Drosophila melanogaster: one gene and its partner. The protein of the gene in region 1 interacts with the protein of each later gene in a pairwise test. Each region holds a gene or a part of one and is shown on either strand. Other genes may lie near its edges.

Region 1 (2,947 bases):
TCGAGCAGCAAATTACTATTTTTTCCCCCTAATAGAGTAATAAAATTGCCCAACTCTGGCCGAGAAATTTACTTTAAACTGAAAAGGAAGTGGAACCTGAATGGTAGCAGCAGGCTGAAAAACAAAGCTGAAACTGAAAATCGAAACCGAAATGAAATGTGGGGAAAATTAAGAAGAAAACGCTAACAATAAATCTTTTGGCAATAGAAAAAACAAAACCTGCCACAAAAAAGGCCCAAAAAGCCTGTTCACAAAATTGACTTTCGAACACAATTTATTTTTATATTTTTGTCTGCTTATTTCGATGTTATTTTTTTTTTTTGTTTTACCAAATCGCTTGAGAGTTTTTCTAGCCAGCGATTTAATAACCCGAATAAAGCCCCAAATAAAAAACAATGAAAAATTAATGTACGATCCATTCAGGTTCATCATCGACACGAGATCGAACCGCAACCGGGGAAAAAGCCAAAGGGAAAGGCGGCTGGCTCAGAGTGTTTGAAGCGGGCTGTAAGGCTTTGCTTTGTCGCCACTTTAATTGGCTCAAATTAAAGACGAGCTGGGATTGGGTTTTAATGGCAACGTCTGTCGGGTAAGGGGTGGTGGGAGGGGGGGAGGTGGAGAAGATGCAGCTGCAGTTTAGAGGCGTCACTTTATTCCGCTGATTAATGAAGAAATTTCCCCTGGAAGCTTGCCGCCTTGTTAACGACTTTATGTGTGACTATTCGCAAATAACAAAATGAGCGAGGTGAAATTAAATTTTACAAAATGTCCCATAAAATAATCAGTCAGCCATGGAAACCACTGGGGTCTGCGGACAACTTTAGTTGCTATAAAATGTGTAAAATGGAAAGTGCTGACCACGAAAGGGTGTTGGGTACGTAATTTTTACGAGAATTATTTCCTTGATGTAGGAAAAAACATGCATCATTTAATTGTAAGTATAAAAATTAAGCCAGTCCCGATGGCATGACCCAAAAGTTTATCCTCGCTCTATACCAGAAAATAAAGATAAGTTCGATTTGGTTGGCAATTTATTTATGTCGGGTCAATTTCTAATGGGGTTGTGCTACAATAATTTAACCATGGTAGATGTGGTGTCCATAGGTGGGAACAGCGTAGGACTTCAGCACAGGGACATGCTGAACCACTGGGACATTTTTCACCACCGGAACATGCTGCACCACTGGAACATGCTTCACCACCGGAACAGATTTCACCACGGGCACCACCTGGGCCACAGGAACCACTCCGTAGGAGGGCTCAATGTAACCAGGAGCAGCAAAAGCCATTGCTACCAGGGCGAAGATTACAGCGATCTAAGGAGATATTTTGTAATATGAAAAATCCTAAGGATTTACTTTATAATTTCGTGAACTTACAATGCGGAACATTTTGGTATTTTGTTGTGAGTTAAAAACTTTAACTTGTGGTTATCGAACGTTTGTGTTAGCCGGACGACTGTTGTTGATTGACCATCCGTGGAATCATTATATATAGTAGTTAGCACCTCAGCCGAAAATAGCCCACAAATGACTTCTGTTCGAACGCCACGCGCCAAACCAGTTTAATTATCTTAAATTTGGTATCTTCGAATAATGCGCATTCTATTTGGTATGAAACCATCTCCAGCGGCGAACTTCCCGTTATCGGTCGTTATTGCTTAACCTTTGGACATAATCCCCATTCAATGACTTCTCAATTGTTTGCTGTTTTTAGATCCGTGTGCTTATTATTGTTTACTTCCAAGACCATTGTCATTATATCGATCGTCTTCACGCGTTTGTGATGATCACCAAGAACCAAGGTCATGTCCACAAAAAAAGACCTATATGAGGCACCTTTGGGTCAACTGATAAATCCATTCTCTCAATTAAACAGAAGAATTATGGCCAAACACGTTTGCCCATTTAGAAGTTGTTATTGAAGTGATTTTTGGCTATATAAAGTAACTGATCCATTGGTCAGCATCACCAGTCGTCCTACAAGCATCCAAGTGACAATATCTCCAAGTCAAGTTTGTAAATTACTAAGAAAATACCAAAATGTTCCGCATTGTAAGTTCACGAAATTATAAAGTAAATCCTTGTGATTTTTCATATTACAAAATATCTCCTTAGATCGCTGTGATCTTCGCCCTGGTAGCAATGGCTTTTGCTGCTCCTGGTTACATTGAGCCCTCCTACGGTGTGGTTCCTGTAGCCCAAGTGGTGCCCGTGGTGAAATCTGTTCCAGTGGTGCAGCACGTTCCGGTGGTGAAGAATGTCCCAGTGGTTCAGCATGTCCCTGTGCTGAAGTCCTACGCTGTTCCCACCTATGGACACCACATCTACCACGGTTAAATTTTGGAAAGAGCTCAATCGATATCGCACGGGAATAAATAAAATGTTTATGCTTGTAAAAGGAATCATATTTGACTTACTTGTCTCAAATCAAATGCACTTCAAATGAGTTTACAACTTCTGTGATTTATTCGCAGTATTTGCAGTGTGTGCGGATTATTTTCTCATGTCCCGCCGAGTTTTTGTATCCAACAACCCATTAAGAGCTGCAACAGAATTTTCTTCGGTCTGGTCCGATCGGAAATTTTTACGCAAGCCGTAAATGCGCCAAAATCTGGAACACAAATACGTTTTTCTCTGTTTTCGCGTTAGGGGCTTTGTAGTTTATTTGGTGCGGATCGAGTGATAAAAGCCAAATGTGCGCCTCGTTCCAGGCACCCAAAAGATACGGAGATTGAGCAGTTGCGTGGAACACATTTGGCAGGCTGTTCGCTGGTGAATTGACTCTTTGCACCGACTGAAGGTGATTAATGGACGCCAAGAGGAGCGGAGCGGAGTGGAGTTCAGTTGCGAAGAGTTGAGAGTAGCCGTACGATACTTCTTAAACGGTAGTTAAAATCTAACTAACACGCGAGAGAAAGAGTTTGCGTTTGCAGAGTTGGCTGATG
Region 2 (4,021 bases), on another chromosome or scaffold:
TGCTCTTACGCTGACGCGTTGTTGCGCGACCTGGGGTCTGAGCACCCTCCAGGCCCAAATCCCAACTTATATGAACGGAGTTCTGGATATGGACATGAAAAGCAATGCATTCTTTTCGGCATTACCATTTCTGGCCATGTGGATTATGTCGTATGTGTACCTGATAATCGCCGATGTTCTGCTCGCCGGAAACAGGCTGAGTTTAACGGCCCTCCGGAAGACCTTCAACTCGTTGGCCTTCTGGATTCCTTGTGCCACTTTGATTGGAATCGGATTCCTGGATCAGGAGCAGAAGAACCTGGCAATTGCTTTGATGACCATCAGTGTCGGTGTCAACAGTGGAGCAACAATCGGAAGCTCCTTGAACACCATAGATCTATCCCCGAATCATGCGAGTATTCTAATGGGAATCTTGAATACGGCTGTTACTGTAGTGCCTATAGTAACCCCTTTGATTGTTGGAGTTATTGTTCATGAAGACGTAAGTTTGCACTGTTAGTGTTTATAAACAGGGCAGTGATAAATAAGTATAAATAAGAAGACTTTCTGTTGATTGTTTCAGGATAACCGTGCTGAGTGGCAGATAGTGTTCATAATTGCGGCAGTACTTTTTTTTGTCGGAAACTCGGTGTACCTATACTTTGGAACGGCTGTTTCACAACCCTGGGATGCTGAAGACTACCTCACAGTAAAGGTGCCAGAGCTAGCTAAAGTTCCAGCTATCCATGAAGCTGGTAAAGGTATTGATGACCTTCCACGAAGTCCTTGAATTGAAGTTCTATCGATAGCACTTAAGTCTTCAGTTAACATAGAAACTATTTAAAACAACAAAGCAATCAAAATAATTTAGAGTATTATTATTAAATTTAATAAGATTTAAGATCTACATCAGTACATTTCATTTGTTTATTAAACGTATAAGTAAAACGATTTGTTTGAATTAAAATGTTTGAGCGTTATTTGCTTATCAAAAGTCGTCAAATTTACCAAAGGTGCGGCCATAAATCAATCCAATAATGGTATGGCAGTAACTACTCTTGATATTACCAATTGATTTTGGAACGCCACACGACCAGGCAATGCTGTTCTAAACAACCTCGTTTAACAGTAGAAAAGGAACTGCAGGTAGGATATTTTCGTCAAGATATCTAAAATTAACTATTAAAGGTGCAAAACCTTGGCTTCTTTCTTGACTAAGTAACCTGAAGGCCGAAATGCCCACCTATTCGAAAAAGGGTTCTCGATATGGCCATGAAAAAGCAATGCATTCTTTTTGGCGCTAACATTTTAGGCCATGTTGCTTATGTGGCATCTATCTTTTACCGAATCGTGCCAGAATCCTTACTAGAATTGTAGAAATGGATGAAAATAATGATTTATTGATTGATTTACAATATTCTGACTAATGACATAATAACTAGTTTGTAAAGTACAACAATTTTTTAATGACGCTTTTTAATTCAATGGTTAAATTCGCCCGCTGTATGACCTTATCACCTGACGTGTCGTATCAGATAAGCAACATTTGGCTTATCGTCTAATTCAATTTGGATTTAAATCCACTCTATGTTCGTGGTCTCACTCACTTAACTTCCCACAGTGATTCCGATCGGTCGTTTAAAAGAAGTCAGGAGGTGTTTTGTTGACCAAATCAAAAATGACGGCCGAGACAAACAAAGGTGCGTGAAAGGAAATCCTTCGGTTCGGATAAGAGTTTGTGAATGAATTGACACCCAACGAACTTGACACAGTGGAAAACCCCTTCATGGCTCAGACCTTGCACTCCGTCTGATTTCTGGGCTTTTCGCACACGCATTGAGTGGTCATAAATTACTACAATAATGGCGCGATAACCGAGTCTCAAGAGCAATTCAGACTTATTTACCCAACTGTTTGTAGACAGGAAGTAACAGTGATAATACCAGTTCGTTTTGTTATTGCAGGACCCGTTCTGGGAATGAGGCATGTCCAGGCGCTACTGATCTTCCTCAATATAACTACCGTATTCATAGGCCGCCTAAATGTGGGCGTGTCTGTGGTGGCAATGACCAATGCGGAAACCACGAACCCGAACTTTCCGGTAAGAATAGGGATCCTATCAAGAAAATACCACTTAGCTTACTAGATTCTCTACTAGGAATACGATTGGACGGAGGCAGAGAAGTCGTACATTCTCTCCAGTTTCTTTTGGGGCTACATCCTAACGCAATTCCTTGGAGGTTATCTCTGCAAGCGCTTTGGAGTCAAGAGTGTAATGTTTTGGGGTGTCTTCGGATCTGGTGTCTGCAGTGCTTTGACGCCGCTGTTCATCGGATTTGGAGAATGGCAGGCCTACTGTGGAATTCGAGTTCTAATGGGATTGGCCCAGGGAGTGGTATTCCCCTGCATTCATCAGCACCTGGCTAAATGGTCACCGCCCGAGGAAAGAAATCGGTTGGGAGCTCTGAGTCACACTGGAATCGAGTGCGGCAATGTGAGTGCCATGTTCCTGAGCGGAATGATAGCCAAGAGCTCCCTGGGATGGCCCGGAATCTCATATGTCTCGGCTGGAGTGGCCTTCTTCTGGTGTACATTATGGTTCGTCTTCGCTGCCAACCATCCTACGGAATCTCGTTTCATAGGAGAGAACGAACTGATCTATATTGAGTCGTCTCTAAAGCACAATGAGTCATACCACGCTACCATTATACCCATTCCCTGGAAGGCAATTTGGACGTCGGCACCATTCCTGGCCCTGCTCATAGTACGATGCGCTGAGAACTGGGGACTGAGCACTCTGCAGGCCGAGATCCCATCCTATATGAACGGAGTCCTCGACATGGACATGAAGAGCAATGCGTTCTTCTCGGCACTCCCATTCTTGGCCATGTGGTGCATGTCGTATATTTACCTAGTCGTAGCCGATGTGCTCTTGGGCAAGAACTCGGTGTCCTTGACGATTTTGAGAAAGACCTACAACTCCATTGCCTTCTGGATTCCTGCTGCCACTTTGGTGGGCATTGGCTTTTTGGACAAGGAACAAAAGAACTTCGCGATTGCTCTGATGACCATCAGTGTGGGCGTGAATAGTGCTCAAACCATTGGCAGTGTTTTAAACACAATTGATCTATCGAAAAATCACGCTAGCATTCTAATGGGAATTGTGAATACAGCGGCGAATTTCGTGCCCATAGTCACTCCTTTAGTTGTTGGATGGATTGTTAAGGAAAATGTGAGTGCTTGCAAAAGTTGGTAGGAAGTAAAGATTTTTAATTGCTTATTGTATCCTTTCCTTTCAGTCTGATCGCTCCCAATGGCAGATCGTGTTCATCATTGCCTCCGTAATCTTCTTTGTGGGCAATTGCATTTACTTGGTGTTTGGCACGGCCGAAACTCAGCCCTGGGATGCCGAGGACTATCTGCAGACACAGAACCCGGAACTTGCCAATAGACCACCTATGCAGGCGTTATCCTTTCCAATTAACGAAAATTCCAAAGAGAAAATTAATAGTAAAAGCCATTAATTCTTAACCCATTTAACGCATTTATTTTTTAGACTAGTCTGGATAACCAAATTTACATTTTAGCATTTGGTTTTTATTTGTTCACTTTAGTGGTCTAAAAATCATAACTTGGTAGAGAGATAGCAAACGATTCTTTTATCTATAACTGACACTCAAATTGAGTTATTCTTGATATTTTGAAAATGCCATTGAGGGCGACATCACTAAATATTTTTAATTACAAGTCCGCAGTCTCAAGAGCTAGTCAGCTATTATTGTTTTGATTGCTCGAAAATATAGACATATTCTTGTGTTTAAAATTCCCTTAGTTACCGTCGCTAGTAGACTGAATTATAGAGCATTTAGTTCTGCAGTTCATTTTTAAGATGCCGTTTGCGAAGACCTAAAAATATTATCTTACGTACAACGATCTCGTCATTGCACTTCTCGCCATATGATTTGTGATAAAAAAAATTGGCAATGCCCACAGTATCACTAAATGGTACACACCTTTATGGTTTCTTTGGAACAAAAATTTA

What was found. Proteins that work in one complex are often made in the same cells at the same time.
Region 2: the proteins of CG34267 (region 1) and CG9825 interact in a two-hybrid assay, tested with the Drosophila melanogaster proteins (one large-scale study listed by BioGRID).

Annotation. Positions count from the first base shown.
Region 1 is NT_037436.4:499,469-502,415, reverse strand, and holds CG34267 (uncharacterized protein), read left to right. Parts: upstream 1-1,964; 5' UTR 1,965-2,042; coding exon 2,043-2,054; intron 2,055-2,117; coding exon 2,118-2,339; 3' UTR 2,340-2,402; downstream 2,403-2,947. Other genes in the region: CG34268 (uncharacterized protein), read right to left, coding at 1,077-1,316, 1,380-1,391.
Region 2 is NT_033778.4:22,835,779-22,839,799, forward strand, and holds CG9825 (uncharacterized protein), read left to right. Parts: upstream 1-1,582; 5' UTR 1,583-1,657; coding exon 1,658-1,679; intron 1,680-1,943; coding exon 1,944-2,080; intron 2,081-2,137; coding exon 2,138-3,211; intron 3,212-3,278; coding exon 3,279-3,503; 3' UTR 3,504-3,513; downstream 3,514-4,021. Other genes in the region: CG12490 (uncharacterized protein), read left to right, coding at 1-481, 563-769.